Linked DNA regions of Lonchura striata. The protein of the gene in region 3 binds, or shares a complex with, the protein of the main gene of each other region. Links are inferred from orthologs where the notes say so. Each region holds a gene or a part of one and is shown on either strand. Other genes may lie near its edges. The genes, in order: TMEM186, CMC1, COA1 and TIMM21.

Region 1 (7,059 bases), on a different chromosome or scaffold from region 3:
CAGTAGTTTTAGTGAATGTCTCTAGCAAGTCTTGTACTTTTACAGAAGCAAAGGTCCAGTAATTTGAAGTCTTACCACATCTTCACTTTTATTATGACTACTCTAGGTGTTTTTATAATTTTTACTGACACTCAGTAACTGTATAATTGTGTACAACATATTGATGAATCGTTAGAGAATACATAGAAAGCACTACAGCTGAAGCATATAAAGTTAATATTGTTTACAGCATACTGTAGACAGTGCCAAATAAATGTTTAAACAAATACTTAAGTACACTTCATGGTGTAACTAGTAACTGTACACAGATTCATAACAAATGACATCAATCATGTGTAATCAATATTCTTAAATAAAATATTTATAATTGATCTTCTCCAGGGCTTTTTCTTTTACACCCACTACTAAACTGAACCATTAGTGCATATATTAAATACATTCTGATGAAGATAAACCTCCAAAAACTGCAGTATACCTGTACAGCCCACTGTATTTTGCTGCCATGGTGTTTACACCGAGGAACATTTGGATTTCTTCTGATACTGCTGTGCTAGACAGTGTCAGCCAAAATTTAAACTCACAGAACCCCACTAGGAAAAGTTAAAGTTAGAAATAGTAATTCAGGGTTACCCTGTGCACTTAAATGGCAATTTTACTTAACTGATCCTTTGCTGATCTGCCAAGAAACAGAGGTTTCACTCCATATGAGGAAAAAATAAGGAAAGAACACTCCAGACTATTGGTGAGAGTCAGTTTATTTGCCAGTTTCAAATTAAGCTAGAAGAGGGGTGTAAGGAGTTATCTTGCTTCTGACAATTCAAAAAAATGTGTTACATGTTATAGGTGATATGTTTGGTTCTTTCTTGGGTTTAAATTCCTCATTTCTACTGAGGTTTTGGAAAAGGAGAAGTCATACCAGTACCATGGAATCACAGTCCTTCATGGAGACAGGTGCTGCTTTTCCCATTCCAATGAAGAATGGCAATTTCTGTAAGAGGCTCCTGAAATATTGTCCCTGCCTTTAACTTACCAGCTGAGCTGCCACTGTCTCTTGTAGCCCACACCCTTGTTTTGCCCAGTTCCACTCCCATCCTGGAGGACCCTCCTGAGGCCAGGACAGCCCACACACCTTCCCAGTTCTCTCAATGGCATTAACACCTGAGCATGTCCCTCTCTGACATTCAGCTGTACCCATCCTATGGATGTACCAGACCAGCTTTAATTTACAAAGGCTTCCCAGCCAACCTGAAATTAGCTAAAAGAAACACTGAGTTTGAAGTGAGGATGCTCTGGCAGCTCCTGCATTTCGTTTCAAGAGATTTTTCATGCTTCATAACCACCAAAGAGGCCAATAGAATGAAACAGCCAGGGTCAGCTCCAGTAATTTGGACAGTCCAGGCTTGGAATGCTGTGACATTACTGAATCCTACATGGAACAGACACTCCTCACACCATATACAAGCTGCAAGACCTTTAATCCAGTGGACTGTGCCTTACCACTGTGACTTTCTACACTGGGTGTACTTACAGCAGGCTTTGCACAGGAAAAGGACAGGGATGTGTAGGTTGGTAAACTACTTAAACCTCATGAAACAATAAGCACAATGAACATGGACAGTCAGTGGAAATGAGGTGCTGTGTCACACAAATTCTCCAAATATTTGAGTAAATTTCTGTCTGTCTACAATCTGGCCATACTTAATTGTAAAATACAAAGTATCTGTACTGTTATACCGTTTGAACTGGTGAAGTAGCTCGTCCTTGCTATCTCCAACTTCATCCAAAGTCACTACTGTCTCTATGGGACAGTAAATATCATTACGTCTTCCCCAAAATGTCAAGTGGGCCACTCTGACAGTTTGTCCACTTTCACTTAAGTAGATGAATCCAATAATTCTTCTGAAAAAGTAGCTCATACCATACAACATTGCCCCAGCAAAGACAGCGATGCCAGTTGTATAGAGGAGGATATTCTGAGACACCTGGCCCTGCAGGTAGAGGTAGCAGATGGGAGGCAGCATGACCATGGAGGTGGCAGTCTGCAGCAGCTTCAGTCTTGACAGGACCCTGCAGTATTTTATCCCTGGGAACCTGTAGACCAGTTTGAACTCTTCTGTCCGCCCATCCACAGCCTTCTGCTGGAGCACTGCAGCAGGGGCTGAGTGGGACAGACACACAGGCGGCTCTCGCGGTCTCCTGAGATAATTACTGACACCATCAACTCGTTGGGTTTGTGACTGCAAACACTCCAACGAACCAAAAATCCAGGGCCGGCGAGCAGCTTCCCTTCTCCACGACCTTGTCCAGAGCTCCTTCTGTAGAGATCTCCCAAAAGCTGCTGCCGTGCAGGCTTTAGTCCTAGTGCAGAGCCAAGCCTGTAAGGTAAGATGCCCACAGGTCATCGTTTGAGTGCTCTTTAAAGCCCAATTGAGAGCTCAGAGCTGGTCACTCGGGCGCCTAAAGCCAGTAAAGCAAACCCCCGGGTCACTGTGACCTTAAACCAGAGCTCTGACAGGAAACTGGTTTTGTGCCCGCATCCCTCCCTGCAGACCGAGGGAAATCCTCGCTAACACAGCTGCTATCAGCGAGCGAGCCTGGCACAGCCCCTGCCTCTCGCCGTCTGAGCAACAGCCCAGGGAAAGCTGCTGAAACCGCCCACTCCCTAAATAACCCCTTAAACCGCAGATTTAGGAGAACAGGAAAGAAAAATGAAGCACGGTGCGGGAGAGCGGGAGCAGACGCTGGGAAGGCGCAGGACTGCAGAGCAAAGGCAGGAGGGGAAGCTCCGCGCTGCCCCCGCCGCGCCGCAGCACGCGGGCGAGGAGCCGTCACCGAGCGGGACGGAGAAGGCGAAAGGCAAGGAGACGGGGAAGGGGGGAAGGGGGGAAGGAGGAGAAGGGGGAAGGAGGAGAAGGGGGAAGGAGGAGAAGGAAGGAGAAGAAGGAGGACCAGCCCGCCCGGCAGCCCGGGCCCTCACCGCCGCCATGGCCCCGCGCGCGGCCCGCCGGGAGGCGCGGCCCCGCCGGGAGGCGCGGCCCCGGCGGGAGGCGCGGCCCCGGCGGGAGGCGCGGCCCCGGCGGGAGGCGCGGCCCCGGCGGGAGGCGCGGCCCCGCCGGGAGGCGCGGCCCCGCCGGGAGGCGCGGCCCCGCCGGGAGGCGCGGCCCCGCCGGGAGGCGCGGCCCCGCCGGGAGGCGCGGCCCCGCCGGGAGGCGCGGCCCCGCCGGGAGGCGCGGCCCCGCCGGGAGGCGCGGCCCCGCGCAGCCATGGCGCCGCCGCCCGCCGCGCTCTGCCTGTTCGACGTGGACGGCACCCTGACACCGCCGCGGCAGGCGAGTGCGGCCCGCGCTGCGAGCCCGGGGGGCGGGCGGCACTCCGCGGCACTCCGCGGCACTCCGCGGCACTCCGCGGCACTCCGCGGCACTCCGCGGGGCCCGGCGTGTCCGCGCTTGGCTCTCGGAACGCCGCGGACACAGCGCGTGTGGGCCGGCGTGGCGGGATGGAGGCGCTGGGCTCCGGCACGGCTGACCGCTCTGTTTTGGACCGCAGAAAATCTCGGCGGAGATGGCGGCGTTCCTGCAGCGGCTGCGGCAGAAGGCGAAGGTGGGAGTGGTGGGCGGCTCGGACCTGGCCAAGATCCGCGAGCAGCTGGGCGAGGACGGTGAGGGCCGCGCTCCGGGCCGCGGTGAAGGGCAGCTGGAGGTTGAAGCTCCTCATCCCCTCTTCCCTCGCTCTTAGCTGGCTCCTGGTGCTGCTGTGGTGCACCCAGGCTGTGGGGAGCTGCGAACCGGCCCTTGGGAATCGCAGCCTGCTTGCACCGCTGTCTGTAGATCAAATTAAGGGATTGTTGCTGATGGTGAAATCCTGCCTCGCTGGCAGCCTTGGGAGGGCATTTTCACACTGTGTGTACAGTGGAGTCCTGTGTGTGACATACACGCGTGGCTGTCCGCTGTCAGCACTTCCCTCAGGACCTGCTTTTGTTCAGTGCGGGGTTCTGATGCAGCGATGCACTCTTGCCTTAGCTTAGTCCTTTATTCTTAATGCTCTTTACTCAATTGATGCCACTGATAACTCCTGTAGTGCCCAGACAGCCGAGTTCGTTTGCCTCCCAAGTGGTCTCCAGTCAACCATATCATCATCATCTTGTGTAGTGCTGAGACTCGCAACTCCCAGACATTTGCTGAAGATTAGTGACACTGAGGAAACAAACCTAAAGGGCAGTATCTGACTTGCTCTCTAGCCAGGCCATGTGCCACGTGTTTGGGCATTCCTTTACACTTAATGTAAAGAGTCATATGCCTCTAAGTAAAACCAAAGGTAAGTCAAACAAATGACTTCACGTGATCTGAGGTGTGTGCTGATCATAGTGAGGAATGGGACTAGCATTAATCTTGTGCTTGATGCTATGCTGCTGAAACTTTTCATGCTTTAGGAGTTAATGTTTGCTGTATTTTAACCAATTTAGCATTTAAGACAATTCTGCATTAAGCATTGAGGGGAAATGATGAGTTACTGTCTTTTTGCTTGTTTGCAGTGATTGAAAAATATGACTATGTGTTCTCAGAAAATGGCCTTGTAGCATACAAAGATGGGAAATTCCTGAGCAAGCAGGTAAGTGTGAAATTTCCAATAGTGAGAAAAAGAAATTTTCTAAACAAGATTTTGATTTATTTGTACAGTGTAGTCCTCTGTAATCACCCTTTCAAAGACTAAAATTGCTGTTGCTTTCATATGTTAGTCCTGTTAATGGATCATTCATTTGGCATGTAATGTTTAACATAAGTAATGGAGAGTAAACATTTAAAAGAGATCCTGGCTAAATTTGCTGCCTTGACCAGTGGTTCCAGTTTACTGCAGGAACAAGCTCCTTTTCTTCATTCTTGGCTGTAACAGACATTAAATGCAGCTTTTTGTTCAGGGCTGCTGCCCGTGGCACAGTTTTCTTCTGAAGCAGGTTCAAGTAGGATCATATTAAAGGACAGTTTGGTGTTATAAAGTGAACAAAAAGCAAAATGAGAGCCTTTAGTTAGTACCATGTGAGCATCAGCTGATGTCACTGTTTGAAGGCATGTTTGTTCTTCTGTGGTATTAACCATGCCTGATTACCCAATGTCTGTGTTTTCCTTGTGACTTGCTTTTAGAATCTCAAATTCTGGACCCTTGTTTGAATGGTGTTTGTTTTGTTAGAGCATTCAGGGCCACCTGGGCGAGGACATCCTTCAAGAAGTCATCAACTACTGCCTGAGTTACATTGCAAAGATTAAGCTGCCAAAAAAGAGGTATGTGCACACAGACATCTCAGCGTGACCCTGTTCTCCATAGGGCATATAAAGCTCAGCTCAGGGTGCTCAGCAAAAGAAAAAAAAGAGGAATTTCTGCTTGGGAAACAGCACTGTGTGTGTGAAACAGAGCTCTGTCCAAGCATACAAAGACAAGCTCCCAGCTGGAGTACAGGGCTTGAAATACTAATTTGGCACTTTTGTGTTAGAGGGAAGGAGATTCAGTTTGAAGTAGGAGTGTTCCCTTGCCATGTTTGGAATTCAGCAGCATAGTGTTTTCCAGAGATGAGAAGTGCAGCCAGACCAGCTCTGTGTGATGTGTGAGGTGCAGCTGCTGCAGACACTGAAATGTGCTGGGTGGAACACTGCCCACATTGCTGTGAATTCTGCAGCTTCACCCACACTGACAGCCTGGCCTGTCAGGCTCTGAGCTTGATGGGATGCTCCAGTCACACTTGTTAAACCAAATGGGACTTCTAAAAGCCAGTAAGGATGATGAGGAGGTTGCCATATTCAAAGTTCAAAAGACTAACTGGTGCCAGAGGTACCAGTAGTGAGACAGGTGATTCTCACTGCCTTTAGAATTAAATGGAAATTTATTGTGCTATGTAGTGTTTGGAGCAAATTTTCTCATCTATTTTCTGTCTTGTTATCAATTCCCTTGCAGAGGCACTTTCATCGAGTTCCGAAATGGGATGTTGAATGTGTCCCCCATTGGAAGAAGCTGCAGCCAGGAAGAACGACTTGAGTTCTATGAACTTGATAAAGTGAGTTACAGCTCTCCTGGAGAAGGCAGTTTTAAAAACTTTTATAATTTGTGCAAGTTTTTTTTGTAATTTAAATCCTTTCCATATGGTGTAACTAATTTCCTCATTCAGACCTCAGGAAATAGACAGTGTGAGGTTTTTTGTTGGAATAGCAGGGATTACTTGCAGAAGGGTGGGTTTGGCTCATGTTTTTAATCCAATATCCAGGCACTGAACATCCTGCTTCATGGGGTTTCTAGAAAACCCTGTCCTAGGTAAAACCATACTTTCTCCTCTATAGTGTAACCAGCCTGGGTCCATTCAAATCAATAAAACCATTCTTTTTTAGAGGTGGTTTTGGGTTATCTTTTCATTGGTAAATCAACACAGTTACAGCATGTAACTGTTGTTTGGTTTTGTTTTCTTTTTTCCTTAACAGAAGGAGCATATAAGAGAGAAATTTGTAGCTGATCTACAAAGAGAATTTGCAGGCAAAGGCCTCACATTTTCAATAGGTAATACTTTAAAAGAATGTCATTTAAAATATCAATCAATTTAAATTTCATTTAAGTCATATTCTCTTATGGCTGTGACATCCCATCTCATTTGTCTGACAGGTCTCTCTGGGGGTGGTTGCAAGACTGAGCCTCTTTTTCCTCTCAGGTTTTTATTGGGACATTTTAATTGAAATCCATCAACAAAGAGCACTTCATGTCTTGTCATCAGTTCATTGTCCTTTAATGTCAGTTGTGTGACTGATTCTGCTCATTTTGGAGGATATTAGATGCATTGGATTAGTCAGAGTGGTTTCTGTGAATCAGTTTTGATCAGAACCACTCCCTCAGTGCTGTTCCAGTTGCCCTTGGTTCTTCAGCTATACCTGCATTGTGTGGGAGAAAAGAAAGAATCCAAAAGCAAGTGCAAGCTTAAGGAAAAAAAAAATACAATAAGGGGGAATTAATTTTTTATGCATTTTGCTTTTTCACCGTCTCTTCTAATATATTACCACACTCCTGCCTTTGATTATTTTTCAGAAT
Region 2 (7,341 bases), about 12 Mb from region 3:
TGGATCCAAACATCACCACCTGAAAATGACAGCTATAATCAAGTGCATATTAAAAATAAAATGAGTTTTCTCATAACCCATGGCCTCTGCTCCCAAAAGCAGCACTGTACATAGCTTTGAAAGTGCTTCAAATTTGATGCTGGGCTGCAGCACATTGATTTTGGAGAAGGATAAAATAAATAGTGTAACATTTTCCTAAACTGGGAGAAGCTGTTGACTCACTCAAAGGCAGAGAGACCCTCCAGGAAGACCTAGACAAATTAAGGGCTGAACAATCACCAACCATGTGAAGTTTAACACAGTTTAACACCTGGGATGGAGCAATTCTGGATGTACAGGCAGAGTGGGGGAAAAGCATCTGGAGAGCAGCACTGCAGAAAGGGACCTGGGTGTCCTGGTTGACAGAAAGCTGAATGAGAGCCAGCAGTGCCCTGGCAGCCAGGAGGGCCAGCCCTGTCCTGGGGGGCAGCAGGGACAGCATCACCAGCCAGGCAGGGGAAGGGATTGTCCTGCTCTGCTCTGCACTAGGGCTGCCCCACCTCAAGTCCTGTGTGTTTTGGGCATCACAATACAAGGATATAAAGCTTTAGGAGAGCATCAAAAGGAGAGCTACAAAGTGGTGAGGGGTCTAGAGGAGAGGAAGGGCCTGAAGCCACTCAAGGAGCAGCTGAGGTTACTTGTTTGTTCAGCCTGGAGACTGAAAGGAGATCTCACTGCAGTCTACAGCTTTCCCACAAGGAGAAAAGCAGAAGCTTTAAGCTGAGTTAGGGGACGTTTTCTAAATTAGATATTAGGAAAAGGTTTTTCACCCAGATGGTGGCTGGGCACTGGAACAGGGTCTCCAAGGAAGTTCTCAGGACCCAAGCCTGACAGAGTTCAAGAAGCATTTGGACAACACACTCAGGCACATAGCGTGATTATTGGGGAAGTCAGGGCCAGGAACTGGACCTGAGGATCCTTGTGGATATATTTCAACTCAGGATAATCTGCAATTTTATGAACATAAAATCTTGTGAACATGTTTACTACCGATTTATTTATTGGATATAATCACCTAATGACACAACCACAGTTTCTTCCCAAACTATGGCTATCAAAAAAACTCCTCCCATACAAATCACAACATAATTTACAGGTTCTACAATCTGAGTTTCAGAGGACTCCTTGATATTCACTCCCTACTGCCTTTCAAAGCCATGAGAATACTTGTGTCTTTTGTGACCATAAAATGAAGTATCAGTCATGGTAACAATTTACAGAACTGTGATACTTCTGCTTTTTTTCTCATATATGAGCCAAGAAGCAGTTAACAATGCTTAAAACATTAAAACCTACCACATCAGGGTATTTGTGTTAACACCTTCCTAATACAAACAGGGCAGCTCACACCTCTTGCAGCTATTGCTTCAGTTTCTCTACTACCTCACTTAGACATCTTCATGTTTTGTACATTCTGAGGTTTTCAACAGAGCTGTATAAGCCAGAAACTGATGGGGAGTGCGGGGAGGAAAGCAAAAGATAGTGGATAACAAGATAGCAGATTTAGAGAGGTGTCAGTAAGCAATGTCACTGCTCAGGAGATGAATCTCAGTATTGGTGCCACACAGCAGGTACCAAAAGTACACCCTTAGCAGTCCTACCACAGCTAAGGTAAAATCACAGTATGGTTTGGGAGGGACAGATAATGTCATTACATGCATAAATATGGAAGCAGAATGCTGATGACTTCAGTGTTCGGTGCCATGGCTTTTGTTCTGCACTGAAATCACAACAGGTTGAATTGCTGGGATTAGCTCAGTTGGTTACAGCATGCTGCTAATAACACCAAGTTGTGGGTTTCATCCCATTTTGGACCATTTACTTAAGAGTCAAACTCGATGATGCTTGTGGGTCCCTTACAACTCAGCCTATTCTGTGAATCTGTGAATTAACTAATGTAATAACTAGGCTTTTTCCAAACGACAACCAGGAGGTGAAATTACGCTGTAGATGATCATCTGCCACTTGAAATACCACGGTAAGTTTTATAACGTTTTCTTAACTGAATAACAGATCAATGTTTAGAGGATACTATCAATAATCCCAGAACTTGACTATATGAATGCCTTGTTTGCAAGGCCTGGAGACCCAAATCCAAAACAGGTTTGCATCAGAAACTCAGAGCCTGGCCTTGTCCAGCATCCTTCGGCTTTTGGACAAGCAGCCACAGGCAGCAGGGACGGAGGTGCACAGCCACGACCATTGCAGGTTACCACCACCTGCGGGAGACTCAACACCTCGCGTTAGCTGGAGGGAATAGTCTTTTAAGACACCAAGCAGGAGACTCCTGACTCGGGAACTCTGGGCATAGTGAATAAACACTACATGGGTATAAAGGCCATGGGTTTACATTCACTCCTGTAAACACGTGTCTACAACCATTCGGACAAGACCCCGGTAGCACGAAGCCGAGGACATCACAGCCTTGGTGCTTTGCCTTTACGTTTGTTACGCAGCCAGCGAGGCTACCGCAGGCACCCGCGGCGCCGGGACGCCCGGAGCCGCCTCCGCCCCGCGTCCCGGCGCTGGAGGTCACGGCGGCGGCAGAGAGGCAAGGAGGGAACAGGGAGGTGGCGCCGGGAGCGCGCCGAGGGCAGCAGGAACGTCCCAGGCCACCCGGATCCTCGCGGAGGCCGGGAAGGAGCCCCCCAGGGTGGCCCTTCCCAGCACCCACAGGCTGTGCGCCTCAGCCCAGGCTACCGCCCTCTCCGGCGGGTGTGAGGGGCCGGCGGAAAGCGACGGGGGTTTCCCACAGGAAGCCTCGGCGAGGCGAGCGGCGGCGGGGGAGAGGAGGGCGGAGGTGAAGTGAGTATCTCTGTGGGGACTCTCCGCCGCGCCGCCGTCCTCCCTTCTTCCCTCCCTCTTTCCCGCCCGCCGTCGGCCGCCCCTACCTGCGGCGCCGGGGGCAGGCTCCATCTGCGGCCCCGCGCGGCGGCGGCTGCGCGCGGCCCCGGCCCTGCGGCGCAGGCGCGGCACGGCCCGGCCGCTCCCGCGCTCCGCCCCGCGCCGGGCGGAACCGGGGGCGGGAGCGCGGGGCCGCGCGTGTGGGCGTTTGTGGGCGGCGGGGCGGCTCTGAGGCGCCGCGGCTGGGTTCGTGCGGTGTGAGTCACCGAGGGATGGCAAAATCACAGAATGGGTCAGATTGAAAAGGGGTTGCGCTGGGTCATCTGGTCCACCTACCTGCGCAAACAGGGTCATCCTAGAGGATTGCGTCCAGATTGTTCTGGAGTATCTCTAGTGAGGGGCGCTCCACGCCCTCTCTGGGTAAGCCGTTCCAGTACGTGGTCCACCCGCACAGTAAAGAAATTCTTTGTCATGTTCAGGTGGAATTCCCTGTGCATCGGATTCTGCTTGTTGTCTCTAGTCTTAGTCTTTGGTACCACGGAGCAGAGCCTGGCTCCATCCTCTTGGCACTCCCACTTTAGATATTTATATTGATAAAGTTCCTTATCAGATGTTTCTTCTCGGGATGGAGCAGGCCGAGCTCCTTCAGCCTTTCCTTATAAGAGAGATGCTCCAGTCCACCAGTCATTGCCCTCAGCTGGATCCGCCACAGCAGTTCCATGTCTTGTACTGAGGAGCCCAGATCTGGGCTCCCAACAGGCCTGGGGTGAGCGCCAGCTTCCCGGGGAACCTCGAGGAAGCCTCTGTATGTGTCTGTGTGCAGCCTCTGACAGGGACTGGTGGCACATCCTCCAGCCCTTGGGGTGATCGAGGCTTCCACAGCAAGGACTTGAAGTGGCAAATGAGAATTTCAGTGGCTGTTTTTATCGATGAGTTGGTTTCTGACCATAAAAAGGGATTTCGAGTCAGCGGGCAAGAGGTCCCTTTTCACGCCTCAGCATCGCTGGGACCACATTCCTGTTACAGCGGTGCGGTTGACAGAGGAACTAGGAAATCTAGTGTCCCTCCTGCAACTCTTTAGTTGGGAGGCAATATATTTGGTTGACCAGCCTTCACTTATTACTTGCATGAAACAAGAATAACCACTTTTTGGGACACAAAACACAGAGCAAAAAAATTAATTTAAAAAGTAATAAATTGTCAGAAATTGTCATGCACTTAAAAACCCAAGAACATGATTCCTGAGAAATTGAGAGAAACGAGAAGTAAGGAGACATATCTAAAACTTGGGTCTTGTTTTAACAAATACAAGCCATAATTTTCAGATAGCCTACCCTCTTTTCCTATCTTTAACATTTTAGACTGACAAGTGATATAAAAAATCAGTCATTTTATGCAGTAGCCTCTTAAACGAGGCTGAAAAAATTCTTCCAAATGTAGCATTTCCTCTGTTACCTGACATTGTTACTTTCTATTCAGTGGAAAGGTGTGTTTTAAACATTGCATTCTCAGGGAAGTGAGAAACCTAGGAGCCTTCCCCAGACTTCCAGATTGTCTGCCTCTGAAAGATAATAAGCAGTCTAAAAGATTCAGTAGGACGAATGTAAATAATGCCATGTTATTTATTATTAAAATTATTTTCCATCAAAGTTTCAAGGGCTGTTTTTCCCCAGATTGACATTATTTTCCCCATTTGAAAATTTTGTCTCTTTATTAGAAAATGTGTTGTTTCAACTTGAGGCCACACTGAGACCCAAGTTCTTGTTGATACGTTCACAGAAATTAGTAAAATTAGTAGAGCGTGATGTAGGCAAAATCTTCTACATGAATGCTTTTGGCCTTACTGATCTAGAGCATTTCTGCTTTTTACCATTTAGTGCCTTTATGCTTCTCTTTTTTTAACAAGAAGTTTGATCTCATTCCTTAGAGTAAAATATGAATATTACAATTGTTTTCTGTAACTTTAAACTATACCATTTCAGGTAATGTTTATAAGCTGTTTTGAGAATTTTAATTGAACAAAGCAATGGAAATGCAACATGTCAATTTATTTATATTTGTTTTATTAAGGGTTTTTGTCTACACCACTTCTGCAATGATATAAGAGAGTGTTAAAAAAAAAAAGATACCAGCCAATCCGCAAAGAGTTCTTATATTATCTACAAAGAGAAAATACAAGAAAACACGATGCAGAGGAGCTTTCAGCATGAGAGCCAAAAAAGGGGAATGTATGCTTTCAAAGTAAGTTGAGTCCTTTAAAAAAAGGCATTATTTAAGTTAGTAATTTTTGCTGCTCTTAAACTCTTGGCTACTGATGTTTTATATATGCCCTGCAAAATTAGAACTCTGAAAATTTCTTTTACTGATGAAGATCTTTGAACTTACATGTCAGCTCCGTGTGTTGTGTTAATTTGATCAGTTTCAGGCCAGAACTTTGCTGCTTCTTTCATGGAAACAGTACCTGCAGAAATAAATGTCCAATAGCTTTGTAGCTTGGAGAAGTTGTCCTCTGCTGCTGCTTCTTCCAGTAGCAGCTCTGGAAACAGGACTTTCTGGGAGTTTTATTTCCAAGTCTGACAGACAAGAACGATGGAAGCTGAGAAGGGCAAAAGAGACTAAGACACACCTTGAGGAAATAAGAACAAAGGAAAAAAAGTTGATAGAACAACTTTGTTCTGGAGATTTGAGGGTCAGAGATAGTTTTTGAGGGAGGGCATATGCAGCTGTGAGTCTGATAACAGTCTCATGCTATTTGGGGCTAGTAGAAATTATCAGAAATGAGAAAGTATCAGAGAAAGTCTTATCTTGACAGATGAGAAAATGAAGCTGACATGCAGAGCAGAAATGGCATAAGACAGTAAGGTAGCAACTGTCCACAAAGAGCTTTAAATTAGGATAAATATCTTGTGTCTGACTTGGGAGCCAGTGCAGTGATCCCAGGAAGTGGCACATTGGCTGACTTAATGACACAGTAAAATTATGTTCTTACAGCAGCTTAAATGAACAGAAGCAGAACAGTTTTTGCCACCAGAAAAGAGAAAGTTACTGTGTGAGAGACGTGAAGTGTTAGGTGCCATATCAAGAATTTTCATACCACAGATGAAAAAGCACAACTTTGTCAATACATGTTCTTCATGGTTTTATATGCAGTCTTGATGTTAGTAAGATCATCGACTTACATAGAGAAAAGATAAATTTACTTAATTCATTCATGTGGAAGTGCCTGTGAAAATGAACTCCATCCTGTAGGAGCATCCAAGGGTATAAAGGGATGGTTTAATTAAAAAAAAAAAAAAAAAAAAAAAAAAAAAAAAAAAAAAAAAGGAAAAAAAAGTGCAAAGTGGGTCTCCCTTAAACATGAGGTCTAACTTATATCTTGTCCCAGGACAGAGTTTTGAAATGACACCTGGAGTATGCAATTTGTGTTTAGTCAGATCTTTTTAAGTATGAACCTTGCACAACCTGGGCAGCCCTGTGAAGTTGTGCTGAAATGTGTGGGGTATTTGCCATGCAGCACTTTGATAAAAGTTCATACCGTATGCTTCGTTTAACTGAGACACTTATCTGGTAAACTTGCTTGACTGGGACATCTCCTGGGGCACTGGTGTAAGACCAGTACTACTTAATACACACAACTGCTACTTAACAGGGCCCTAACAGAACAGTGGCTACTGCTTAGTGCCCCTGGTTATTCAGTGCTGCTTATGCCATCTCTCTGTCAGAGTTCTTGGAATTTGTCTATACAAAGAAAATACTCCCTGCAATTAATTCCCGTAGAGTAAAATACTGGGTGTAGTAGTGGAAATAAACTGATGATGGTGGCTACAATTTCTGCACTGATTGTTACAGTGCGGAAGATGTGATAACTTCCCCTATGGTCTTGAAGGATGCTTGAGCGAATGTTTGTTTTATACAACTTTTAAAACCCTATATAGTCAGAAGTAGTAGTGTTGGGTTACAGTAATTTCTGTGTTTCTAAGATTCATATTGTCATTTGATTAGCTGATCGCCCATTTTCCAAAGTGTGAACATATTTTCACACTTCAACCAAGACAGTGTTAACAAAGAAACTATAGATAGCAATAGAGATTAATTATCTATCCCATGAGTCTCTACACCTTGTTTTTACCAGATAAAGAGAGCCTATCTGTCTGCACACAGGTGTGATTTTTTTTTTTGACAATAGCATTGGTCAAATGAGTTCAAAGGCTTATCTTCAAGTAGCACTTCTTAGACATGTTTGTTCGCTCTTGACACTTTTGATCTTGTTTCATGAAATACAACTTCCAGTAAAGGGTTGTGATTACCCATGTGAAATTCATTCATAGGTGCGAGATGTGGGGGAGCTTTAAATAAGAATATTTAGAATCAAATAAACTTTTCTTTCTTTCCTGGAGGGAAAGTACTCTTACTGAAGTCACTGCAAAATTGTTGAGGGCCTTATTTGCAATTGCCATC
Region 3 (7,189 bases):
GCTGTGCAGTTGTTAAAAAAACCACCACTGCACCACAGCAGATGAAAGGATTCTGTCACTTATGACATTCTAATACCAGGAAGGACCCTCATAACATGCTAAAAGACAAACAATAAAATACCTGGTGATGCTTTTTCAAATTGCTCGCAACAGGCTCACAGCCTGAACTATGCTGAACTGATAACTTGAAATTTTACTAACATGTTCCAATATTCTTGTGTATCAGGTTGCTTTTCAGAAGTATACTCTCAAGAACTTTCTATTCCTTACAATATGCTGAGCAGAAAAAAGTAAAACTGCATTTTCAAAGGGTTAGCTCCCACACTAGCCTGATGGTCATGTAACTGCTCCTCCCAGAATCTGAGACATAACATAGTCCTTTTCTGTATCCTCCTCAGTTACGCAAAATCACAGCTCAAAACTGTAGACTTAGTCACTAACATCAGCACAGAGAAATAGAAAAATCCAGCCAGTGCCTTTCTTTCCCCCTCTACCCTCCCACTTGCTTGTATATGCAAGATTTTCAAGGTAGGTGTTCACACACTTCACTTGTTGACTTGTGTTTTAGTTGGACAAGCAGGGAGATCTACACATAAAAGTTGTCCAAAGCCTAGAGCCTCCTCCTAATTCCCAGAACCACAAGCTAGGCTGCTACCAAACCATCCTCAGAGCTGCTCTGAGGGCTGTGCTGCAGCCTGGGTAAGGCAGCACAGGCACATGGAGCAAAAGCTGCTGTGCAACAGCAATGCTCACGCAGGGGGAGCTGGGCTGCTTAACAGACAAGATGCAGTCAGGAGTGCTGTCTAAAGATACAGAAGAAAGGCCAAGTGCCCTAACAGCCACACTGCTTAGGGAGGGTGTGAATGGGCCCATCTCTTTGTGTGAGCTCCAACTCTCAAGGTGTCTTAAGTGTAGTGAAAACAACCCCCAGCATCAGCTCTTCTTCCTGCTTGATCTTATATTGTGGTCACAGCAGCAAAGGTAAGGATGTTATTTTGCTCCTCTGGCATTGAGTCAAAACCCAGAAGTTTGTATTAGAAAAGTGGCCTGGAAAATACTGTGTTAACAGACACTCAAAGCCTCTGACTTCTGGGGAATAACCAGCTTTGAAGTAAAATACATTCAGCAATAATCCATGCACACTTCATTAATTTCAGAAATGCAACAGCGAAGCACTACTTAGAAAAAGCTGTAAGATACTAATGAAGGCTTTGGGGTTTATTTTTATTTTTAATCCCAAAAGCTCCTTATCTCCCTTCTCCATGTTTTTTCATTCAATTTACAGTAGTCTAAGTTAAAGCTCATCTAATAAAAAAATGACACATTAAGTTCGGCTAACCTCTTCATCCCCCTCTTGATAAGAATACTTTCTTCCTTGGGGAATAAATGCAACAACTTTACAATTGGTACATTGCTTGTTTAAGATAACTTTCCTTTGCACTTTGTGTTTAATGGAATTTGGCTGATCTGGGCTATTTCAGCAGTTAAATAATTGAGACAGCAAGGGCAGCAATTTTTGCCAAGTCTTGAATAGCACAAGGATCTCAAGGAAGAAAGGCAGCATTTTGTTATCTTTCAACATGCAGTCATCTTTCTCTACCACACCCCCAGTCAAGTTTGAGAACCCTTGACACGGGCCACTGCATGATATGAAACACCGGTTTACTGTTCAAATTTGAGTCAAAGCTTAGACTAAAAACAAAGAGTAGCTGCAGTTTAACACTGGATTTAAGTACAGGTCTGAGGAGTTGCTGCTGGAATGGAGGTGTTCATGCCACTTATCCCGTCCTGCTGCTGGGCTGTGCAGCTGCAGTGCTAGCCATGTCTAGAAAGCATTGATAACACTGGAACAACCAACTTTCAAAAAGCCAGCTGATCCCTAAGCCGGATGCAAGAGGTACAGCACGATGTACAGCTGTGCGGTGGAACAGGGCCACCTTGCTGCCGCAGCCCTCTATTACTCCAGCCTTTGAATCTCTACTAGGAATTTTTGAAATTTGTTTCAACACTTCAATTCATAAAAAAATGTCTCTAAAAGCAACCCAGACCACTCTTCGAGTTACATGCTCTCTTCTTGCACTTAGAGTTCATGTGAATGAGCAGAAAGAAACCAACTAGGCTGGAAAACGGGAGCAACCAGCGTCCCCGATAAGAAGGGACAGGGGAAATGATATTTGCTTCAGTGATCAGAGCAGACTTGAACAGGGAAGTTCCAATCTTTATAGAGAAACATAATAATCTCTTTCCTTTGCAGTGTTTGAACATTAGACCTGTTCAAGACAACCCAACTGCTTCACCAGCTGTACCTGAATAACAAAGTAAATCTGATTCCTCACTACGTGGATGAGTCACTGCAAACAACTTGCTTTATGTGGAAATCGCCCTACCCTCGCCACATTTCTCCGGGATGTGCTCCAGTCAGCGAGTTCCCCACAATACAGGGCACCGCGTGCCTGTGCCTGTTTAAGCAACAAGAGATCTTTCCTGCCGCAGCTCTGATTGCTCTCTGCGTATCAGGTTTTCTTTGTAGCTTCCTAGACAAATTTGCCTCGCACTCCTCTCCCGACGGCGGCTGAGAAGTATCTTAAGTACACGCACCACTAACAGGGCCGAGGGGAAGCGTGCCGAGGCTCTCGGGGCAGTGAGCGAGCCCCGCCCGCCTCACGGCACTGCCGCCCCCACCGCGGCCGCGCCGCTCCGCGCCCCGGTCCGGCCCCGCCGCTCCCGCAGCCGCCGCGGAGCTGCCGTGGCCGGGACTCCCCCGGTACCAACCCCCTCCCGCGCCTCTTTCCGCCCCCCGGGGCCCTTCTGCGCCGGCCCGAGCCCGCCGGGAGGGGCGGCGAGGCTCGCTCGGGTGCGGCGGTGCGGACGGGAGCGGCGGCCGGGACGCCCTGGCCGAGCCCCGGCCTCGGCCGCCCGCCCTCACTCACGGCAGCGCGGTCGCGTCGGGCTCAGGCGGGCGCCGTGGGGGCCGCCATGGCTGCGGCGCCGGCGGGGAGCGGCAGGGGGCGATGGCGGGAGGCGCTGCGAATGGCGGAGAGGAGGGGACGGTGGCAGGGCAGCGCCTGACTCGGAAAGATCCCGACCACACCTGAGCTTGCTGCCCAGATCTACTCTCTTCTGTGGTGATTTATTATTCCTTTATTTATTCTTTTTTCAGGACAAGGAACACCATAAAACCACTCTTGTGCAGTCAAAATTGAAAAAACCCAACAGTGTCTGTCCAGCAACCCCTAAAGAAAGTTCTGAATGTAATCTGGCCATCTCATTTCACACAGTGATATTAGCATTTAATTTAACCACTGCTGTCTTTATCACATTGTTCTGTGTAAGCTGTTGTCCCTGTTGCAGTTTATTTAAACAAGCTGTCCAACAATGTCCCAAAGCTCAGCACTTCGGCTCTGGTGTTTGTCAAGTGTGTGTGTGTTAGCAGTGCTGGATTACATGAACCTAAGCCTTGGCCCACGGCTTTGATTCATCTGAAATTAAATGATGAGTGCATCAATGACATCAGAGTGTGTTCTGCTGCTGTTCCTTAGTGCATCCTACCTGCTTTGATATTTATTGTATGCGTTCCCTGCCTGAGGTGAGTAAGGCATTATGTTCGGGGATATTGCAAAGCCAGTTTGTTCTGTAACCTAAGCAGTTTCCAGCTACTTATTTACACCTGTTGCATTACTGCGGTGATTTAGTGGAATACAGTCTGCTATTTCAGATTGTAAATTAAAACTGTTTCTTCCCACGGCACGCTTCTAGCAGTTTCCAGTCAACTTCTACAATCAGGATTTGGTTACATTATTGCATTGCTTTGTTGTTCCTAACAAAAAAATTAAAAAGTGAGAGGTTTCTATACAAGAGATGAATTGATTAATTCAGATGTTTAATTGATTCAATTAATTAATTCAAAAAATTGAAAAATGGGAAGGTTCTATATTGTAGCAGAATTGATTAATATAACTCCTTGCTAGGACTTGTAATACTAAAGAAATTGTGAAAGGCGAGAGTAGGCAGAAACAGTATGGAAAGACAATCAGCAGAACAAAAGGACATGCAGATATGACCAAAAGAGAGACAATGAGATAGAGAGAACAAAAAAAGGAGTGAAAGGCCCAGCCTCTTACACTCCTAAGAAGCCCTGTTAAGAGATTGTTTTCTATGCAAAGTTACAGCGTTTTTTAATTCTTTCTCTCATCCTACCTTTTCCTACATATCTAATTACTCTCTGAAAAAAAATCTATTTCATACATGTCAGACCTGAAGAAAGATTTTAGGCCAGAAACTTGTCCTCCGTTCTCAGCTGTGCCTGTGTTGGCCTACCTACCCCTGCTGTCCCTTTTTCCCGGTAATTTTGCAAGAACCAAAGCTGTGCAATACCCGTCCAACACTGGTGAAGCTTTATCGGTTCTGAAAGGTGCTTATTATTCATAGAGATCCCCTCTGCTATTTCCACATGGAAGGAGAGACATAAGAGAGACATAAGAGACGGCCAGCATAAGACACCAGTATTACTATGGCCATGCAGGGAGGGCTATTGGTTGTTGCTTCTTGCTGGGCTGGCACTTTCCTCTGCACACTTGTCAGCACCCTAGGGGCCCAAGGCAGGCTGGCCACGCTTCTCACAGCCACCAAAGACTCTGGCCCCAGAGCAGTTTGCCCCTCAGGGTGGCCCGGGGCTGGCTGCCTGTCCCCGGCCAGCTGCGCCTGGGCCGCTGCCTCAGCCGTGAGGGATGCAGAGCCGCGAGAGCCCGTGGCTCTCTGCTGGGCCGCACAGCTGAGCTCCCAGCTCCAGCTGGCAGGGCCTCAGCGCCCAGCCTGTGCCCTCCCGCCCCGACGGCCATGCCAGGCCCTGCTTGCTGCCCTGATGGTGGCACTCCCGGCCCCCAGCGCTCTCCAAGGGCTTCTCCTGGGGCACCTTCCTGCAGCCTCTCAGAGCCTGCACAAAACCCAGCAGAGGCCTGCGCTAGGGCTGCTTACAAGGGCCTGGAGGGACAGCACCAGGGGCAGCGGCTTCCCACTGACAGAGGGCAGGGTTAGGCTGGAGATGTGCAAGAAAGTGTGCCTCTGAGGCTGGTGACAACCTGGGCCACGCTGCCCATGGAAGCTGAGGCTGCCCAGTCCCTGGCAGTGTTCCAGGTCAGGTTGCATGGGGCTTGCTGCAATGTGGCCTGGTGCTGCAAGGTGTCCCTGCCCTTGGCAGCAGGCTTGCAACAAGACAATGTCTAGGGGCCCTTCCAAGCGGAGCCATGCTGTGATTCTGGGATCAGAGGGGGGTCAGGGGCACGTGGCCTTAATTGCTGATTAGAACCAATTCAGCACTGTTAGTTTGGTTGAGTTCGCAGAGACTGTTCACAAGCCCAGATTCCCATCGGGTGACTTTTACCAATACTATAGGTGTGGCTGAGAGCAAGAAAGTCTCGCATGCTCCAGATTCTGCAAAACTGCCTTTTATTGAAACAAGAGCACAGCAGATCCTTGCTTGCTCGTCATGCATGCGCTAACTATGGAGCATTACTACGCATCCAAACAGATCTATTAAATACTCAATTTATATTATTCCACTGTCATATTCGTCATGATGATTTTTTCATTCTATAACATTCCACATATTTGATAAACATTTAATTCTAAACATATTGTATAAAATTACTGTTTTGTAGTAAATACAATATGTGTGTGTATAATACATATTGTATACATATAACTGTACTATCAAAATCTTGCCTCCGAAAAATTCAGTAACTACAGAGTATGAATATGTGTCACAAGAGCCACAAATGACTCTGACATAATAGTGACATCATATACTTGCTATTTCTTTTTATAAAATAATATGATAATTTTAAAGATATTGTATTAAATTACTGTTTTGTAGTAAATACAATATGAGTATGTATAATACATATTTTATAAATATATCTGCATCATCAAAATCTCGCCTCTGATAAATGCAGTAACCACAGAGGATTAATATGTGTCACAACAGCCACAAATAACTGTGGCATAATAGTGACATCCTATACTTGCTATTTCTTTTTTTAAGATAACATGATCATTTCTGAATTATCGCTATAATATGTATCTATTAAAACACATCTGTTAGTAAAAATATTTGTATCAATATATACACACTATAGGTATATAGACAGATATCTATCTGTCTATGCATCCCATTCATTCCTGTCTTTGTCATGGAGCTACAAGCTGGTTCTCTGCCACCAGCTGCAAGCCCCGCGAGCACACGCATCCAAAGGAGGCCAGCAAGGCTGGTGAAGGCTTGGGAGCACAAGCGCTGTGAGGAACAGAGCTGGAGTTGTTTAGCCTGGAGAAATGGAGACTCAGAGACAACCTTGTCACTCCCTCCAACTACGGGAAAGGTGGTTGTAGTCAGGTGGGGGTTGGTGTCTCTCTCCAGGCAGCAAGTGACAGAACAAGAGGACACAGTCTTTAGCTGTGCCAAGGGAAATTTAGGTTGGACGTTAGGAAAAATATTCTTACTGGAAGAGTGGTAAAGTACTGGAATCGTTTGCCTGGGGGAACTGGTGGAGTCACCATGCCTGGATGTGTTTAAAAAAAGGTTGGATATGGCACGCAGGGTCATGGTAATAGCTAAGGTAGTGTTAGGCCATGGGTTGGACTCGATGGTCTTAAATGTCCCTTCCAACCTAGTGATTCTGTGATTCTCTAATGCTGTGATTCTACGTGCCCCGCTAGCAGCGGCCAGAGGCCGGCACTCTTGCCAGGCGACGGCACAGATCAAGGCCTAGGGGTGGGCAGCCAGATCCTGTGGCAGGCCGTGGAACAGGTTGGATGGCCTAGCCCTTTGTGTATCTGGGGGCAAGCGGAACTCCTCCGGAAGCCTCTGGCTGCCCACTGTAAAAGGCTCCAGGGGTTTGCCTTCCAGAGATAAGTGCAGCTGCTCCAGAGCATCCGACAGCTGCAGCAGGAAATGTCTCCTGTGCCTCTGCGACGCCGGTACGGTGCTCAGCAGGCGCGTGACATTGGTCTTGATGGAAGGGATGGAAAGGGCCTTGCGCGCAAGAACACGGGCAAGGAGCTGCAGGCATTTAAGGTGTGAGTCGTCCTGGGGAGCCGGCCTGGCCATGCGCCTCAAGAACTTTGTCTCTGCCACGCTGTAGGTCTCGGGCCACGTTGTGCTTGGGGTGTGGGCCCCTCGATGCTGGCTGCTGAT
Region 4 (6,834 bases), about 47 Mb from region 3:
ATGCTGTTTACTTGCATAAACAGCAACAAAGGAGATTTAATCCATGAAACTGAAGGCAGCTAACAAGCTCTAAGGGATGTCCAGATGTTAGTCAGGCAAATTACTTGTTGGTAGAATTACTTTGTTAAGGTTTAGGGCTTGACATGCTTCACTGATTTCAGACCTAGTGGGAGGTTAACAAAGCTTGGGAAGAAGGATGGCCACTGCTAGTGGACATAAAGAATGCAGAATTTACAGGCCACAAGGATACCTGGAACAACTCCCAAGACAAGGAAGAAACTATTAAAGCCAACTCAGCAATTGTGCTGAAATCAGCACCAGCTTCCAGAAGTATGAGATTGCAATCACTGACCCAATAAACTCACTGCCTCAAAAAAGACAAAGACTGAAAATGCAAAGTAATTAGCATGAGAATCATGATCCAACAGAAGATAGAAAAGTAATTAATAAGAGAATTGTCTTACTTGTATCCAATAAAAACTAATTCCTTCCTTAGCTAAAATGTATAAAATAGTAAAATGTTTTATTAGTTGGTGTGCTGGCTTTGTGAATTTGCCACTCAACACCCCCTTCTGTGCAGTACTGTAAAGCTATCAAATACCTTAACCCCGGTGCCTGGATTGGCCTCTTGCATACCACAGTGAAAGAACCTATTTGGCAACATTTCCACATCACAACTTAGATAGAAAGGAAAGGAATTTTGCATATTTCTAACACAAATTCTTACAATCCAACCACTCACACATTTTTCCAAGTTTTCTGATAGGAAGGACTTTGTAAGCTGCAATTGCAAACAAATACTATCATTAATCCACAGAGAAATATGGAGACAGAGTTTCAATCTTAAACCAAATCCTTACACTTCATACCCACTGATGCCACCAAGCAGGCAGAGCTCCCCATTCACTGCATTACTGACTTTAAATTGCCAGCACATTTCCAACACCTGGCCAAACCAGCTCTGGGTTTCTAGGCAACCAATCCATATCGGGGCGGGGGGGGGAAATAGCTAATTTTAAACTATATGGGTACCATATACATTTAATGCCTTCTGGTTTTGATTTCAGATTGATTTATGCTCAGAGAAAAATAAAATCAAAAGAAATTAACAACTCTGGTCTACACTGTCAATGGTGCTATGTAAAAAAAAAAAAAAAAAAAAAAAAAACCCAAACAAGACACAAGACATTTTACTGAGAATTTCTATAAACTTAACAAAAAGACAAGCAGATTTCAGCTTAGGTGTCAATCACTGATAGACCAACTAAGTTAACAACTACAAAAGAGTAGTCTTATAATAAATACAACGTGGACTTCAAACAAGGGTTTTACTCATGTATCATTACCAAGAACTCTTAGATGTTGAGGCACTAACAAACTGCCATTAAGGGGATTTAGAGACACAAGCTGTGCCCTGTATGTTCCAGGGCAGCACATCCCGGGCTATTCTCTCCTGAACAAAGCAGAGTTTGAGCATACTCTATAGGGACACAACTTCACAGACTCCTGCCACAGGACCAATTCAGATAAGAAGCTGGATTCTGGATTTTAAAACACACTACCTTGGACAAGCATAACCTGCATAGCCTGTATTCAGTCCTTCTTGCTCATTTAAATCACCCTCCCTCCTCTTCTTCACTACAGGGAGAAATATATGAGGAGAGGAACATTTTGCCCACACATGCTTTGAAAACTTTAATGTAACAGCTATTGTTTTTGTAAGCTTCAATAAAAAAAAAAAGGCAGAACTTTTGCATTTTCCGAAACAAAAATATTCTCAAGGTGTGAAGAAACAAACAGCAATCCCAATCCATAAATTACTTTTCAAGTACTGTGTGTGCTAAGATTTTAAATTAGCATTCACAGAATGCTTTTACATTGCATTGACACAGCTTGGGCAGATAAGCCTAAGATAAAAATCAATGACAGCTGTTACACCCCCTCTTTAGAGACTTCTAGAACCATTGAGATGATCTTACTTAAGAGGCACAACAAATTCAGTTGCTTTTTCATTACCTTTCAACCTGTGGGGCTGTTTTGTACCAGTATTTTCACTTTCACACCCTATAATACTTGCAGTGTGCCTTGGTTTTTTGATGGTCAGCAAACAATTGTCTTTCAAGTAAATTTCAAATAATGAACAAAAAGTTTTAAGCAATGATAAAACCTGTCTCCTCCACCTGTTAAAGCACATCTGGGGATAAACAAAAATAACGTTTTGACATGGGTTGGTTGGGTTTTGTTCTCTCAGCTAACAATTTCAGTCTTTTTAATAGGTGGGTATTACCCCAATCCATTTGCAGGTTTAAAAAAAAAGGGGGGGTAATACAGCAAGGGGAATGAAACTGTGCTGAAGAAACGGGTTAGCAGAAAAATATGCTTTCTCAACTTTGCCTCTCAGGCTGATGCTTTAAGATTCTGAAAGCTGAACACGTACTGTAAGAAATAAGACAACCACACCTTCCACAACTATTACAAAGGCCTAACCACCCTGAATACACATAAAGCAGCTATTCAACTAACTTCCTGGATATTTATTATAGCACCTCCTTCAAGCTGAAGGACATACCGAAGTTTAAGCTCCCCTTTCCAGGCAGAACAAAAAGTGCCAAACCCAGGCCTCCGTGCAGCTGGCAACACCAGCGTTTTCCCACTGCAAGGTGCCGGGGGGGAGAGGGAAGAGGGAGAGGGAAGAGAAAGAGGGAGAGGGAGAGGGAGAGGGAGAAGGAGAAGGAGAAGGAGAAGGAGAAGGAGAAGGAGAAGGAGAAGGAGAAGGAGAAGAGAAGGAGAAGGAACCAACCCTCCCCTTGGCTGAATGCCAAGCAGGCAGCCCCGGGCCGGCAGAGCCCGCTCGTCGCGCCCACCATTACCTGCCACGGCCCGTCGCCATGGGCGGGACAGCGGCGGCCTCGCACCGCCGGCGGGGAGGGGCGGGAGGAGCCGGAGCCGCCGCGTCCCGCTGTGCGCGCGGCGGCGGGGCGGCGGCAGCCCGAGGAGGCGGGGCGGGGCGCGGGGCGGGGACGGCGGGAGCGTTAACGGCGGCGCTGCCCCAGCAGCGCCTTGTCCCCTTGAGCCTCCTTTTCTCCAAGCTAAACATCCCCAGCTCCCTCAGCCGGTCCTCCTAAAACTTGTGCTCCGGACCCTTCACCAGCTCCGTTGCCTTTCTCTGCACTCGCTCCAGCAGCTCAGTATAAACGGAGGGCTTCATTACTGAACACAGTACTCAAGGCGTGGCCTCAGCAGCGCCGAGTACAGCGGGACAGTCGCCTCCCTAATCCTGCTCACAACACTGGTTTCGATAGAGGCCAGGAAGCCTTTGGCTTTGGCCGCCTGGGCACACACGGGCTCACGTTCAGCAGCTGTCACCACCCCCCCAGCTCCTTTTCCAGCACCTTTCCAGCCACTCTGTCCCCAGCGCTGCCTGCGGTTGTGAGCAGAACCCCACACTTGGCCTTGTTGAACCTCGTGCCATCGATCTCGGCCCATCGATTTAGCCTGCCCAGATCCCGCTAGCCGTCTCCATCCGTGGAAACGTCAACTGCATCGCTTTAATGTGTGCAAGACCAAGAAAAACACGTATGAGAACACAGCTTCCAAAGGGCGACCGGCAGCGCAGGCGCGGCGGCAGCGCCGCCCGCCCTGCCCTGGAACGAGCGGGGTCCCGGCCCGCGGAGGGCGGCGGCGGCGCTGGGCATTGCGGGCGCTGTAGTGACCGCGCTGGGAGCCGCTCCGGCGCCGGGCGGGAGAGGGAGCCCGCTCGAACTACCGCTCCCAGGACCCGCCGCCGCCGCTCGCTGCTCCGCCGTCCCAAACGTTTCCGCCGGGGCAGCCGTAAAGGTGCAGGTGGGCTCCTGAGCTGGAGCAGCGGCCGCTCGGCGCGGAGGCTGCCCGGGCGCGTCCCTGGTGCGGTGGCGAGAGGCACCAGCTCCGTTCGGCTCACCTGCCCCGGGCGAGCCGCTGCGGGGCCGGCGGAGCCATGCCCGGCGTGCTGCCCCGGGCGCTGCCCGCCTCCCTCGGGCGGGGCTGCCCGGGCCGCTGGCTGCTCGCCACTCGCGGGTGGGCGCTCCTGGGCGCCGCCGCCGCGCCCCGCTGCTGCCCGCGGTGGCGGCACTGGCCCCCGCTGCTGCTCAGAGCTCGGAGCTTCGGGACGCAGGCGGGAGGGCTGAAAGCTGCAAAACCTGGCCGGGAGAGCAAAGATGTGTCCGTGCAAAGGGCGCTGAACGAGGAAACGCTGGTGTCGGCGGCTCAGAAAGGTAAGGAGGAGGATGCTGTGTGCTGCTCAGAAGGGCTGGAGGCTGTTCCTTCTGCAGCTAACGTTTTGGAGTTCCAAATACCAAGTATCTAGGAAAAAAAAATATCAGCACACCAAGCGGGTTTCTTTTCACATCGTATTGTTTGGAGCAGATGTTATATTTCTGTGTATGCATTGCACAGTCAGAATTATGTGACTTCTAAACAGCCTGTTCATCTAAGAATTATCAGGCACAAGATGTAATAGCCTCTCATTTTCCCTTTCAGAAGAAATACCTATCACATGTAGCCTGTCTGTACGGCTGTTGATCAAGTTCATCTCCAACAAAATTGTCAAAGTTGTACATGTGATGGTAGTTTCTTTATGGATTGCCTTCACTTTAGTTGGTCTCACTCACTTTCAGTACTTTGAAATGACTTGTGAAAAACTTCATAACTTTGAAATTACTTATGAAAAACTTCATAACTAACTTCAACTGATTAGAAGGCTGCAGTAGAGATAGTTATTAACATTTCCTCCATAACTTGTACTCCACTGAAATGCACACTAAAAGATAGTGGTGGTCTCTTTCCAAGTATTCAAATATATTGAAACAGAGAATCTTGTATGACTTATTTTGCAGCACATACTGATACTTGTACTTTAGATCAAAATTGAAAGATAAAAACTAATCAAACAGCAGTTAATTAAGTTTTTTAAAAATTATTTTGGTCTAATTGTTTTTATTGTTGTATTGATTGCTAATTCATAAAATCAGTTATTTTCATTGTGTGTAGCTTAAAAGCTTTCACTTTTTTTTTTTTACTTCTTTTCTTCACACAAGGATTGCAGTGATTATAGGTTTAGGTAGTAGTGTGAATACTGCAGTGCTAAATACCTCATTAGTTCCTAAAAAGTCTAGCTCTCACACACCCAAAAAGCAGCAGTAATTGCTACTTTGGATCTTGAAAACATCTGGCAAACAGAAATAATAAGTCTTGACACAGAAATGCAAACATGCCCTGTAAAATATAAGAGATGTTCCATGGTATCTTTTACAGCAATGAAGCATTATGGAAACTTACTGGAACTTTTTCTTCTGCTAAAATGTTGTTTGAGCTACAGACTAACAGAATAGCATTTATGTAAGAAAGTCATAGAAGTGTTATTACCCAAGGTTGTAACTTACATGTTGTTTTCTGTTTCATTTCAGTGAAAGAAGCTGGAAGAGACTTTACCTATTTTATTGTGGTGCTTGTTGGAATTGGTGTTACAGGTTATTTTTTAAAATTACATTTTTTATCAGAAGACACTTTTCATTAATTCCATTTGGTTTGATAAGTTTTCATTCCATCTGATGTTGTTTCTGTTACAGGTGGTTTGTTCTATGTGATTTTTAAAGAGCTATTCTCTTCTTCTAGTCCAAATAAGATCTATGGAGATGCCTTGGAGAAGTGCAGATCTCATCCTGAGGTTGGTTTTTGAGCTTTAGACATAAGTTTGTGTCTCTCAGTAGTTACTGTCTCTCTTAAGTCAAAACTTTGCGTAAGGAATCTCACAAGCTATGTGAAGACCCACTTGGTGCTTTAGCAGTTCTGCCAGTGCTTTTAGTTGGCATGGGGTGTGTCAGCTCCAGAGCAGAGCCTCCATTAGTCCAAAACAGTGCAAACATTGAGATTGTGTGAACTAGCCTGCTAGAAGGCAAATGAGCATGCCACAGCACAAAAACTGATGGAAATACAGTCTGCCCTTCAGAGCATGTGCTTGTGTCACCATACAGAAAGTTTTTGGGACTTTTTTGAGTGCCTGTTAAATGTAGCACTTGAATTCTGTGGGTCAGAGAGGCAATTGGTCCCACTAAGCTCTGTTGATCTTATCTGATGCCTTTTCTCAGCACACTTACTCTATTGTGGCACTTCACTATTGTTCTGTCATTCTGTGAGGCACTGCACTGATACCCAGGAATCTAAATTCTTCATTTGGCTAACTGGAAAACAGGTGGAGAACAGTCATGGGATCACACAGTCATCATAGCTAGAAATAACCAAAAATCAATGTGAAACTAGATTTTGAAAATACTTCAGACAAAGAACCCTTCACACAAGATTGCCACAGATGTCTTTGAGGATAACCTAGAAATGAAGTTGCTCGAATAGAAATGAAACTGCTTTGGAACAAATTTGTAGAATTAAAACACCTTCCCAGTACTTGCACAGTAAAACTTAACCTCCTCTTCTAACCAAATTTAAAGTAGGTTTAAGAATAAAGTGATCTACTCTGACTTTATAGATCTGAAAAAAAAGTTACTGAATTTCTAATTCCGTAGTGTTTTTTAGATAATATGAAGGAGAATGCATTTGCATCTTAAACTTTGAAATATATTCTCTTGGAGGAGACATGAACAAATATTTTGTGGTTTTTTTTTTTTCCATTTTTTCATTTTATACAAAATGTCAGTTTACATGTCTTCATCTCAAAGAACAGTACAAATGGAAGATATCAATAGGATTTATTTTAGACATTGAATACAGGACTGAAAATAATAAAAAGGACTGGAATACAGAGGAGTTTTCCTTAAACTGTTTTTTTTTTTTTTTATAAAC

The links.
Region 1: COA1 (region 3) and TMEM186 share a complex: the UniProt entries of both Homo sapiens proteins name them as parts of the mitochondrial complex. The link is inferred for Lonchura striata from reciprocal best matches to the Homo sapiens genes COA1 and TMEM186.
Region 2: COA1 (region 3) and CMC1 share a complex: the UniProt entries of both Homo sapiens proteins name them as parts of the MITRAC (mitochondrial translation regulation assembly intermediate of cytochrome c oxidase complex) complex. The link is inferred for Lonchura striata from reciprocal best matches to the Homo sapiens genes COA1 and CMC1.
Region 4: COA1 (region 3) and TIMM21 share a complex: the UniProt entries of both Homo sapiens proteins name them as parts of the MITRAC (mitochondrial translation regulation assembly intermediate of cytochrome c oxidase complex) complex. The link is inferred for Lonchura striata from reciprocal best matches to the Homo sapiens genes COA1 and TIMM21.

The regions. Positions count from the first base shown.
Region 1 is NC_134618.1:6,718,270-6,725,328, forward strand, and holds TMEM186 (transmembrane protein 186), read right to left. Parts: upstream 3,009-7,059; 5' UTR 2,987-3,008; coding exon 2,978-2,986; intron 2,857-2,977; coding exon of another isoform or gene 2,709-2,856; exon of another isoform or gene 2,528-2,708; intron 2,376-2,527; coding exon 1,641-2,375; 3' UTR 70-1,640; downstream 1-69. Other genes in the region: PMM2 (phosphomannomutase 2), read left to right, coding at 2,709-2,856, 3,547-3,600, 4,532-4,608, 5,185-5,276, 5,944-6,043, 6,462-6,537. UniProt on the Homo sapiens protein: As part of the MCIA complex, required for efficient assembly of the mitochondrial complex I.
Region 2 is NC_134603.1:117,169,715-117,177,055, forward strand, and holds the start of CMC1 (COX assembly mitochondrial protein homolog), read right to left. Parts: upstream 3,004-7,341; 5' UTR 2,956-3,003; coding exon 2,931-2,955; intron 2,845-2,930; exon of another isoform or gene 2,574-2,844; intron 1-2,573. UniProt on the Homo sapiens protein: Component of the MITRAC (mitochondrial translation regulation assembly intermediate of cytochrome c oxidase complex) complex, that regulates cytochrome c oxidase assembly.
Region 3 is NC_134603.1:105,060,044-105,067,232, forward strand, and holds the start of COA1 (cytochrome c oxidase assembly factor 1 homolog), read right to left. Parts: upstream 3,011-7,189; 5' UTR 2,931-3,010; intron 1-2,930. Other genes in the region: inositol 1,4,5-trisphosphate receptor-interacting protein-like 1, read right to left, coding at 6,761-7,189. UniProt on the Homo sapiens protein: Component of the MITRAC (mitochondrial translation regulation assembly intermediate of cytochrome c oxidase complex) complex, that regulates cytochrome c oxidase assembly.
Region 4 is NC_134603.1:58,092,744-58,099,577, forward strand, and holds the start of TIMM21 (mitochondrial import inner membrane translocase subunit Tim21), read left to right. Parts: upstream 1-3,814; 5' UTR 3,815-3,976; coding exon 3,977-4,253; intron 4,254-5,444; coding exon 5,445-5,507; intron 5,508-5,606; coding exon 5,607-5,704; intron 5,705-6,834. Other genes in the region: FBXO15 (F-box only protein 15), read right to left, coding at 2,871-2,890. UniProt on the Homo sapiens protein: Participates in the translocation of transit peptide-containing proteins across the mitochondrial inner membrane.